2 linked regions of the Arabidopsis thaliana genome follow. The protein of the gene in region 1 purifies or fractionates together with the protein of each later gene. This does not show direct contact. Each region holds a gene or a part of one and is shown in the gene's direction. Other genes may lie near its edges.

What was found.
Region 2: the proteins of NPQ4 (region 1) and PSAG fractionate together in Arabidopsis thaliana (co-fractionation; one large-scale study listed by BioGRID). This does not show direct contact.

What each region holds. Positions count from the first base shown.
Region 1 is NC_003070.9:16,868,314-16,875,722, forward strand, and holds NPQ4 (Chlorophyll A-B binding family protein), read left to right. Parts: upstream 1-1,907; 5' UTR 1,908-1,961; intron 1,962-3,197; exon of another isoform or gene 3,198-3,305; 5' UTR 3,306-3,454; coding exon 3,455-3,646; intron 3,647-3,730; coding exon 3,731-3,844; intron 3,845-3,923; coding exon 3,924-4,167; coding exon of another isoform or gene 4,168-4,235; exon of another isoform or gene 4,236-4,633; coding exon 4,634-4,881; 3' UTR 4,882-5,111; downstream 5,112-7,409. Other genes in the region: AT1G44608 (uncharacterized protein), read right to left, coding at 6,936-7,183. UniProt on the Arabidopsis thaliana protein: Plays an important role in non-photochemical quenching (NPQ), a process maintains the balance between dissipation and utilization of light energy to minimize generation of oxidizing molecules, thereby protecting the plant against photo-oxidative damage; acts upstream of DLDG1.
Region 2 is NC_003070.9:20,801,404-20,806,353, reverse strand, and holds PSAG (photosystem I subunit G), read left to right. Parts: upstream 1-2,904; 5' UTR 2,905-2,972; coding exon of another isoform or gene 2,973-2,997; coding exon 2,998-3,480; 3' UTR 3,481-3,684; downstream 3,685-4,950. Other genes in the region: AT1G55680 (Transducin/WD40 repeat-like superfamily protein), read left to right, coding at 1-21, 109-219, 326-417, 499-604, 793-879, 953-1,366; AT1G55675 (uncharacterized protein), read left to right, coding at 2,174-2,500; AT1G55673 (uncharacterized protein), read right to left, coding at 2,973-3,383; AT1G55660 (FBD, F-box and Leucine Rich Repeat domains containing protein), read right to left, coding at 4,014-4,301, 4,383-4,523, 4,611-4,950. UniProt on the Arabidopsis thaliana protein: Not yet known.

The sequences.
Region 1 (7,409 bases):
GAACCGTAGGTGCGTCTTCACAACAAGCAAACCCTAGCTGCCGCCGACACCGAGAGCTGCTAACTCGCCACCGCACCTTCAAGCTCGAAGAACACCAACTCTCTCTCTCTCTCTCTCTCTCTCTCTCTCTCTCTCTCTCTCTCTCTCTCTCTCTCTCTCTCTCTCTCTCTCTCTCTCTCTCTCTCTCTCTCTCTCATTTTGTATAAGATTCTCTAAGGTGGAGCTTTGCCTCTTGTATTTTACATTCAAAAAAGTAATCTCTAAACCCTTTTTAAGACTTATTCTTCTTTTTCTTATGGTTTACTCAACCCAACTTTTAATTCGCTCTTTTGCCATGAGCTAGTAGATCACTAGTTGGGTTTGAGGGAGTTTCAAAAGGGATTCATGGGGATGTTAAATCTGGTTTAGGTTGGCAGTTTCTATGATTTTGTTTGATCGTTTATACTATTCTTTCTAGTTGAGTTTGATCTTAATGCATGTATGTCTCGCACACCACCTAATACATGATCTTAGGTATTTTATACTTAGCATAATTTCGTATAATTGCTTGAACCTAACTCACAAATGAATATTGTGTTATAACTATGCAAACGCTAAGTTATAGAGCCTTATGGATTAGAATCGAACTTGAACTTAAAGATTTGATCTATGCGTCGGTTTTTCCCTTATTTTGGGGTCTATTGTTTTTTACAAAAATCTTAACAAAATGCGATTCAAAAATTTGAAACCCAATACAAATGCATCATAAAAATTGGTGAAATGCCGGACCAGTCTGTCCTCGATCAACAGCTAGTTGTTCTCTAGATTTTGAAATATCTTGAGGATGTTTACCCGATGTCTCCGTCCCCACGTTTCTGATAAATGAAACGGCAGTAGATAGAAATATATGTGTTTCCTAGTAAGTTAACTGTATTTCTTTGTGACATATTATGTTATGTGTACCATGTTATTTGGCTATTTGCTATGATAATGTATAAATTATCACATAGCGTCCTAGCGAAATTAATAAAATCTATACTCGAAAATCATTAATCTGAAAGTTCATTAACAGATACACGCCAACATAAAACTATAACATGTTAAAGAGAAAAATACTATTTTCTAATTGATTAAATAAAATGTAAAAACATCCAAAAATACATGTCACATTATTGTTATTTTACTTATTAGGTTTGTTCCCAAAGTATATGCCTAAGCCCACTTGTTTTGTAATAACGTGAAATGAGCAGTTCGTGTTCAAACACGTCTTACATGGAGACAATTAATTAAACACCACTTACTTGTTACTACAAATATACTCTTTCGGAGTGTTGCGAGCAATTTATAAGTCGCACATATTTTTGACTCGAATCGAGTCAATCAGGTTTTCTCAAACTATTAGGGATTTTATGTAATATTTTTTTTTAAAAGGTATATTGATGTGAGTTGCCCAAAAAAAGAAGAAGGTGTGATTGATGTGAAATTGTTTTCAAAATAGGGGTTTAATGTATGTACATATAATTAAAATTAAAATGAAAGTTTATGATATTTAAATATTATATGTCCATTTTGAATATATATGATGATTGTTCAATTGATACAATTTAAATTACAAAATAATGAACTTTTTAGTAGAAGACAATGTTTTGTGTTTAAATTATAACTTTAATGAGACTCATAGAAAGAAAACAAATATGCCTAAACCCGCTTGTCATGATGTGAGATGAGGTGTTCGTGTCCAAAGTTCAAACACGTCTCTCATCGAGAAAACTAATTAAACACCAAAAATTATTCCTTTCTGAGTGTTGTGCGAGTATTTGTAGTTTCAAATGTTTTTTACTCGATTCAAGTTTTTACCGTCCCTAACTATTTTAAGGTTATAAGCGGGTGCGGTTGCGGTTACGGGAGTTTGCGGAAACGGGCGATCACGGTTTTAAGCGTTATCAAGCATTTTGAACGACTGGTTGAGCGTTTGATAATAGGTGCGTTTGCGGGAGTTTTATGACTGATAAACCAGCCGGTGCGATAGTAATTAAATAAAAAATAACCAAAATAAATATAATATATTACTATTAAAAGAAATAAAAATATAATATATTAGAAAAATTGATTTTCTGACCAAATAAAAATACAATATATCATCTCGTCCGACTAAAACATTTTCTAATCGAGAAAACAAATCGAAACATGTATTCAATCAAAAAACTCAAAAGAATACAAAATAAAATAAAAACAATGATGCCATGAAATAGTCAAAGAATTACACTAGCTAATGAGTGAATAAAATGATAGATGATACTTATGTTTGATTCTTGATTTTGATTTTCATCGGATGCCATAATTGAGAGAATAGAGTTACAATATATTGATTAGGGTTTTCTAATAAAAATAAGATATATAAAAGATTAGATTATTTTAATTATAGTGATTAGGGTTTGGGTGGAAACCACAATTATTTTAATTAACTAAAAATAGATTATTTTTTTATTTTTAATCTAACCGCTACCGCCCGCAACCGCAAACGCTTGCGGGAAGGAGCTTTTGAAAATTGGCAATTTTGAGCGGTCCAAAGCGATATCTAGCGGTTTCTATGATTGGTTCCAATCGCTAATAACCGCTACCAACCGCAAACGCTGCGTTTATGGGTGGTAGAGGGAGAACCAATCAGCCCTTAACAAAACCGAAAAAACTAAAGATTTGAACCTAAGTGTCGAAGATTCTTTCGGACCAGTCTTTACCACTAGACTACCTAACAAATACGAAAATATGAAGCCAAAATTGTTTTTATACTATTTGCGACCGTAAGTTTGGGTTTAGCCCGCTTGTGTTTGTGCCCGGCTCTGGCTATATTAAAAAAGAATTAGATATTTTTCAAATATAATATTTTTTACAAAATATGTAATTGATGTGAATTTTTTCAATATAGGTGTTCTTATTTATATACATATTATAAAAAAAATTAAGCCATTTCGTTTTTGTAATATCTAATGTACCAGTTCCATTAGTATGTACTTTGCTAGTATAACATACCCTTTTGACGTGAATCTTCTATGAGTATGTTTCTTTAGTTTTGACCAGACACAATTCATTTACATCAATACATAAATTGGATTTTAGTTCCAAAATATGATTTTCTTGAAAGAAATATTTTATATTTTTATTAGAAGGAGTTATTAGTTCGTCATAAATGGTTCTTTGAATATGACATTTATTTTGTTTTTTTGTTTACTGTCTAAATAAGTATAACTTTTAAAAAGTGTATCTAAATTTTTTAAAAACTATTATATTGATAGATTTATTTTTCTCCACAAAAACGTTATCTCCAGTTCACCACATAGAGAGTATGGAAAGGACAATTGGGAGACGTGGACGCACTTTAAGCCCATCAATAGATTTCCCTTATATCTTTTAATCTCTTCACTTCCACAACACAACACAAAACACATCACTGATCCTTCTCTCATCCTCAGAAAGAATGGCTCAAACCATGCTGCTTACTTCAGGCGTCACCGCCGGCCATTTTTTGAGGAACAAGAGCCCTTTGGCTCAGCCCAAAGTTCACCATCTCTTCCTCTCTGGAAACTCTCCGGTTGCACTACCATCTAGGAGACAATCATTCGTTCCTCTCGCTCTCTTCAAACCCAAAACCAAAGCTGCTCCTAAAAAGGTTTTCACATACTCTTTACTTGTCCCACAAGGAACATTTCTTGTGTGTTTGATGGTAATGTTAAGATTTTCATATACATTTTAGGTTGAGAAGCCGAAGAGCAAGGTTGAGGATGGCATCTTTGGAACGTCTGGTGGGATTGGTTTCACAAAGGCGAATGAGCTATTCGTTGGTCGTGTTGCTATGATCGGTTTCGCTGTAAGTCCCCTCTATGAAATACACTAACTTATCTTCCAAGAAAGAAGCTTTAGTATGAAAGCTGTGTTTCTATGCATAGGCATCGTTGCTTGGTGAGGCGTTGACGGGAAAAGGGATATTAGCTCAGCTGAATCTGGAGACAGGGATACCGATTTACGAAGCAGAGCCATTGCTTCTCTTCTTCATCTTGTTCACTCTGTTGGGAGCCATTGGAGCTCTCGGAGACAGAGGAAAATTCGTCGACGATCCTCCCACCGGGCTCGAGAAAGCCGTCATTCCTCCCGGCAAAAACGTCCGATCTGCCCTCGGTCTCAAAGAACAAGGTATCTCTCAACATTTCTATTTCTATCTTTGTTACAATGACATTGCTCTGAACAACCAATGCAAATAATATAACCTGATAGAGTACTATAGTAACTAGTATAACTGAATTGGCCTAAGTGTAGTGTCCGGATCGGCTTTATGTTTATTTATCGTTATCCTAAGATACAAATGTGAGACAAAAGATACTAGCATGGAACTGTCAATCTCCAAAAATAATCTCTAAATGTTTATTTATTTATCGTTGGCCTGATAGATTATTTATCGTTATCAATTTCTATCTTTTTCCCCCATGTAAGCACATTGGTTCCTGAATGGCTTTCTCTAGCAGAGAGTCTCTTCCCGTTAACTTAAATAAAATAGTGTTTCTGAAAAGAAAAAAAGATACAAATATGAGATTACTTAAAGAGTTGCTTGGTCTAATGTTTTGAATAAATTTGAATATGTTTGTTGTTTTGTTGTGTGAAGGTCCATTGTTTGGGTTCACGAAGGCGAACGAGTTATTCGTAGGAAGATTGGCACAGTTGGGAATAGCATTTTCACTGATAGGAGAGATTATTACCGGGAAAGGAGCATTAGCTCAACTCAACATTGAGACCGGTATACCAATTCAAGATATCGAACCACTTGTCCTCTTAAACGTTGCTTTCTTCTTCTTCGCTGCCATTAATCCTGGTAATGGAAAATTCATCACCGATGATGGTGAAGAAAGCTAAATTATCATGTACTTAAATTTAGTAGAGAGTGTGTGACCTTCTCTTCATGTTGAGACAAAAGGAAATGGACAGCTTAAATTGTTGTAATACTTATATCCTTTTGTTTTTAACTTGGAATTTTCTGATTATATATAGTTTTATTACACCTAAGTGACTAGGTGATTGATATCATCTAGCATCTCTTAACAGAAAAAAACTGTGGAATTAGAACAGCTTCATCATAGTTTTTTTTTTTGATAAATCAAACAGAATTTAAAACTAATATGTTAAAGTACATGTTAGGAACTTATTTGATTCCAAAATCTAGATTATAAAATTAATTTGGTAAATCATGAAGGAGCCGTTGTTTTTGCTCTAGTGGTTCCCCAAAAATCAGAACATAATGGCAAGTGTTTATGGCCGCGCGTACCTTCACAAGATAGTTTGCAAAAGTGAAGGTAGCGTCTCCCCTAGAGTGATTTTCTCCATTCGTCTGGTGTACCTGGCTCGTACAGGCCGTCTCTGGGGGTGGCAAGGTAGGCAAATGCCCAAGGTTACTAATCAATTTCAAAAAAATTGTTAAGACTAAAAGGCCCCAATTTTTCCAAAAAAAAACATTTACTAAGAGATTTTATTTTATTTTGAGTTTTGCCATAGGTCTCATAATGAATTGAGCCGGGATCTAAAGCATACACTGCAAGAGTAAATATTAATTTCTATTCTAGAGGACGTCTTCGATGTTGACGAAAAGAAAAGTATCCCATGCAAATCCAGCAACTCTGTCCTATTTCGGACAGTCCAAAAATCGAACTTACGAAACAATTGATCTAAAAATCATGAGCGTTCCAAATACTCCTCATAATGGTAAAATTCATAATCAAACTTCCCAATAAAAAAGAAGCCAAAAACATCTAAAATTTATGTTTACCTGTACCCAACCCTTAAACATGTTTTCAAAAGAATCTCCAAAATCATTCCTTCATCAAACCAAATCAAATCTTAAAATAAAATTTTATATAAAGAAAAAAAAAACTTAAAACCCAAAATGTGAAACGTAACTCAAAAAATAGAAAGCTCTTTCTAACAAAAATAAATATGTTTAAACTTCTAACCCCACGTCATTATCATCTCCTTCGCCGTCTTCAATGTCTTCTCCTCCGGTGATTTTCTCCATGATCTCTTTTGAAGATGAGATTACAAGATTTCTACTGGAAAAGCGCTTAAATTTGATCAACAAAAATCGACTGTTACCATATCAAATACTCCATTATAGAATAGAATAGCTCATGTGGAAAAGCGCTTAAATTTGATCAACACACGATTTTGTGCCTATTTCGACAACGACATACACTTGAAAGTGCTTTATTCGTAATTGATCCCAATATATCAAGATCTAGATAATTTTTCTTTCGAGTTCACGGACTTGACTTCATAGACATACTTTCATACACCAAAGTACTTGGTCTCCAAGATTTAAATCTTTCTCTCCAAATAATGTCCAATAAGACAAGTCTTTCTCTTGATTCGCTTGTGTGGTGCGACGGAGGAGTTTTCAAGCCATTTCAACGGCTATCTCTAAGCAAACGAGGTTCTCTTACATGCGCCTTCTAAATAAACTTTTGCTTTTTCAAAAATTAATTAAGAAGGCTTGATAAAAAAAATTGTTTTTTTTCTATTACTTGGGCCTTTTAATCCCATAAACAAATGTATTACATGTCCTTTTAGAAAAGCTTTTAGTTTCTTTCTTTTAGTTTTCTTTTGTCTGTTTTAATACAATTTTTTTTTGACATTTTGAAAAGCGGCAATGATTGATTAAGTTATAACTTATGATTAATCGTTGATCATTGTTAATCTTTCTGTAGATCGGTTTTGCAATGAATAACGACATAGGTTGTTGTTTGGTTAATGTTTTTTCGTTGTGAATCGAATATTGATTTCATCTTAGAGTTGCAAATAATTAAGTATAAATTATGTAAGAGAAAAAGAACAAGAAGAATACCTATAACAAAAAAATTATTGTAAATTTTGAGAAGTTATTAATCTTAGAGTTTCTGTTAAGTGGGGGACAAAGGCCTTCACCAACTTCTACTCAAGTCATCTTCACTTTTAACCTTGGCGGACAAGTGACATGCTCTAGACCGGCTTTTGAAACTGATGACGTGTAAGAGTCTACGAATCCGTTTTCTCCACGACAGTAGAGGAGGAAGTGGTGTGGACTGAGGAACAAACTCCTTCTTCGTGTGGACATGTTGATATTGCGTTTCTTTTCCTTTCTCCCATGAAGTTGCTCGGTTGTCTTCGAAGTTGATCGAAATGAATGAATCTATAGATATATAAAATAAATTAATAGAGCCACCTTGTACCGTTGATCTTTATGGACGTTTTAAATTTGGTAATTATTATTGAAATATTTACTCTTTTAGTTAGATTTAATATTTTTTCTTAACCTAAGAATCCGCAAATAGGTAAACAAAATTATAAAGTGAAAATATTTGAAAAGTTAAATTAAAATATTATTTATTTAATAAACAAAAAATATATTATTTATT
Region 2 (4,950 bases), 3.9 Mb from region 1:
GGTCATGTTTCCCCATCTGAGGTTAGTTTCTTCCTGAATGATATAAGATTCCTCTATAAATACCTACATCAGTTTAATGGTTGTTGTCTTTTTCTTGTGTGGGTGCAGAAACATCCTGGAAGTTTGTTGGAGGGATTTACAAAGACTCAAGTGAGTACACTCGCAGTGAGAGATAAATTTTTAGTTGCCGGTGGATTTCAAGGAGAACTTATATGCAAGGTAAGCTCTAGAGTTTTACAATCATGGATTTTTAGTTTTTCACACAACAATTACATGCATTCTAATCAAGGAACTTCATCTTTTTCCACATTGATTTTATTTTCAGCATCTTGATAGACCTGGTGTGAGCTTTTGTTCACGTACTACTTATGATGATAATGCTATAACCAATGCTATTGAGATTTATAACAAACCCAGGTATTTGCATGTCTTTTGCTTGAGGTTGTATTTGCCAACTTGTCTCTTCTAACTGATTTTTTGATGTCTGTCTGTCTGCAGTGGGGCACTTCATTTTACTGCGTCGAATAATGATTGTGGAGTCAGAGATTTTGATATGGAGAGATACCAGCTTGTTAACCAGTTTCGCTTTCCATGGCCGGTGAATGTAAGTCCCTACTTTTTCCTTGATTTTTTTTTTGTTTTTGTTTTGGTATAAGTTGATCTGTAGTGCTTGTAGCAGTAAGTTTCAGTTACAAATACGTTTTGTAATCTGATATCTTCTTTTACATTACGAAATTGTAAATGTAATTGCACCCCAAATTATTTAACGAAAGGGGGTTTTTGTATTGATAGCACACATCTTTAAGTCCTGATGGTAAATTGTTGACGATTGTGGGAGACAACCCTGAAAGCCTTCTGGTAGACCCCAACACTGGAAAGGTACAGAAACGATCTCTGTGTTACGTATCCCTGAATAAATATGCTTTCTAACTAAATTTGGAATTTTCTACAGACACTGGCAACGCTATCAGGACATCTGGACTTTTCCTTTGCATCAGCATGGCACCCAGATGGATTCACGTTCTCCACAGGTAACCAGGACAAGACCTGCCGGGTTTGGGACATTCGTAACCTGTCAAAATCTGTTGCTGTCTTGAGGGGTAACCTTGGAGCAATCCGATCCATTCGCTACACATCTGATGGGAAGTACATGGCCATGGCTGAGCCGGCTGACTTTGTCCATGTGTATGATGTCTCAAACGGGTATGAAACGGAGCAAGAGATCGACTTCTTTGGGGAGATCTCGGGAATATCATTTAGCCCCGACACAGAAGCACTCTTCATAGGCGTTTGGGACCGCACTTACGGAAGTCTAATTGAGTATAGCCGGCGCCACAACTACTCCTACCTTGATTCATTTCTATGATCACCCGACATACCAGAGGAATAAAAGAGCCGATACATATGTGCTGCTGCACTCTCCTGTCGCTCTGTTAAACTAAGAAACCCGAGAAAAGAGAAAACATAAACTCAAGTCGATCTCTAATGGTGTAAATGATGTGTTGTGCAAGTACTAGTAGGAATGTTGTCACAGAGAGCGGATTTAGTTAGTTAATGTTCATTTCTTGTATGAGTGTTGGAGTTCGTGTATTGTACATAAGTATATGAGGTTCGGGTGAGTTTGCATCAAGTCTCAACTCTTGGCAAAGAGACAACTTTACTCGAGTCTGTGGCTCGTTATTTGGCTATGGTCACTTGTAGAGGAACTCAATTTGAGATGTTTCTGCCGATTGTTGGATCAAATTATATATCATGATGTTTCATAATATTTCTGTTTCCTAGACTATTAAAGTGTATCAATGGTAAGTTTCTCTCTCTCTTCTCTCTTTAATATCTTTTAGAGAAAGCTAAACTTTCCGATCAAACCTTTGCCTTCTGGTTTGATTCGAAGGCTCATGTTCCTCACATAGTGGGCTCGTGTCTGGCATCTCTGACTACTTTAGCGGAGTTGGCTAGCTTTCTTCTGACAGCGATGGCTTCCTTAGCGTCGTCTTGGTCGGCACCACTCCGGAAGCAGTAGCTTACATAGTATCGTCTTGACCGGATTTCGGGTTTGTCTCCGCCGTTGTTATGTTTTTCTTCCAGTTGTTTATTTACTTACAATAAATTTTATTAGGGATGTGTTGATAATATCGATTGAAGCGAATTATCGCTTAATGAAGTGTATTATTCGATGCTTTTACTTTTGAGTTTGCAATTACAGGAATTGATTCATAGCTTTTCAATGAATTATGGACTCTTATTGGCTTTGATCAATTTTTGTAAAATCTGTGCCGCTGTGTTTTTGGAATTCGGGAATCAATTGTCTTTTGGAAGATCCTTTCTTTGCAAATTTGATGATGATGTTTGTTGGGATTCTCTAATTAAAAACCGATGGACTTCTGTGTTTAAAGTTCTAGCTGTTTCCGGTGGCTTTGGAGTTTTCCGGTTGTTGCTGAACAGATCGGCGATGAACGGTGACGAAGAATCATCTATCCACGTCTTCAACTTTATTTGTTAGCATTCCACGTGGCTTTGCAGTCGGGAATTATTTAGCTTACTTCCTTAAAGGATTATGTTTCTCGATTGGGCTTTTCTCGTTGGGCCTATGGTTATAAGTTTGTTGGTTTTAGTTTCATATGTATCAAGACCTGTAATATTGAGTTTTTACAACACAAGTTATAAATAAAATACAAACACTTTATGAGAAAAAAGACTATTAAAGTGTAGATTATGGACTAAATCTTTTAAAAAAAAGATAGTAGGTTCTTCAAAGTGTATCCTACTAAATTACAAGGGTTTGAACGCAAATATTTCTTTGAAAATCTCATAATCCAGAAAGAACCAACGAGAGAATGCCACATCATCCATCCGTAATCGTATCCTCACAAACAAAATCTTCTTCTGCTTCTTCTCCTGCTTGCCAGAATCCAAAACCAAACCTTCAGATCATAAATCCAAAACCACTCATTTTTCTATTACTGAAATTTTTCTTAGAGAAGAAGAAGAAGAAGCAAAATGGCCACAAGCGCATCAGCTTTGCTCTCACCAACCACATTCTCCACTGCAATCTCCCACAAAAACCCTAACTCCATCTCATTCCATGGCCTTCGTCCCCTCCGTCTAGGTGGCTCCTCCTCCGCCCTACCCAAACTATCAACCACCGGGAGAAAATCCTCCTCCGCTGTCGTGAGAGCTGAGCTAAGCCCTTCCATCGTCATAAGTCTCAGCACAGGTCTCTCCCTCTTCCTCGGCCGTTTCGTCTTCTTCAACTTCCAGAGAGAGAACGTAGCAAAACAGGGCTTACCGGAGCAGAACGGAAAAACCCATTTCGAAGCTGGAGATGATCGTGCTAAGGAGTACGTCAGTCTCTTGAAATCGAACGATCCAATTGGATTCAACATTGTTGATGTTCTTGCTTGGGGTTCTATTGGACACATCGTTGCTTACTACATCTTGGCTACTTCCAGCAATGGATACGACCCAAGCTTCTTTGGATGATTCGTTTCAATGTCAATCTCTCGTATATGTATATGTATATGTTTGACTTGTGTTGCAAGCTATCTAATCTGTTCTCTATCTCTGTTTCTTCTTCTGTTGTTGTTGTTGTTGTCTAAGACTTGTCCCTCTTTTTGCAAATGTTTTATTTCTCCATTTACAAAGATTGGTTTGCAGAGTTTTATAAGAAGAACATAATAGTATATACACTATGGAAACAGAGAGATGAAATCACATTTTTACTTGCGCTCAAGATTTCGATTTAGTTTGAGCTAATGTTCGTATGAAAAACTTAGGTGATTTGGTGAAGCTAGTTTCATACCTAAGAGAGAGTCTAGATGTAAGATCTCAGAAAGATAAAGCCAATGTCTCAACAAAAACAGTATGCTCAAAGATAAAGTATACAAAAAGAAAACCAAAAACAAAGACATAAACCTTAAGTTTAGATCAAGTTACGGCTGCAAATAAAAAACCATTGTAATAAAGGAGGGTAGTGTCTATGGAAATGAAAGTTTGAATCCTTATGATTCACATCCTCAATGGAAGAAGACTTGGCATGTTTCTGGACCTTGAAAAGAAAGTGACAACTCCTCGATCATCTCATCTCTTGTTTCTTGAGCATATGTTGTCGGAAAAAAGATTGTCGCAGACTTTAAGCAGCGAGCATTTTTCAAGATATATTTAGCTACATCCATCTGGTTCTGCAGCAATCCATGCATCTCACTCCAACGGAACGTTTCGAGACTGGACAACAAACATGTAGGAACACAATTCAGCTGATTGTCCCACTGATTTGGTAGATCCGTACGCCCATTTGGATGATCCTGTGATCAAACATGAGAAGTTTGGCTTAAACATTATAGTTAATTGAACCAAGAGTATAGGTCTCTAAGGAACAAACTTACTTCTATCACGTAAGCCTCGAGCTCTCGTAAATTGGGAGAGCTTTTGAGTAATCGGGCAAGTAAAATTGACCAATCTGAATCACATGAACATATCTTCAATTGTTCAAGCTGGTTGAAGACAAGACCCTCATGATATAAAGACTGCATAAGATGACAAAAGATTCAACTTCAAGAAAACCTGGTTTATTGTTCAACAATGAGATGGATAGAGTGATGGAAACAGATTACCTCTTCGGTGTAGACTCCCAAGCATAACGAAAGACGCTTAACAGATGTGATTGATCCAAAGAACTTTTTGATATTTTGGAATGTCAATACAAAATCTGCCTCCTCCAACTTAGGCATATCTTCAAAATCGTAGAAGTATCGAGGACTATCACTGTCACTCTCATCATCACTATCACTCTCTAGCCTTTCATCAATGACTTTCAAATACTTCAAAGAAGGAGAATTCATCTTAAGCCCATCAAGATGACAAGGACGAGACATCTTTAGGGTTAGTCTCTGCAAGGACTTGACAATCACACTCAATTTCCCCAAATTGTCAATTTTATCTCGTTCCATAACT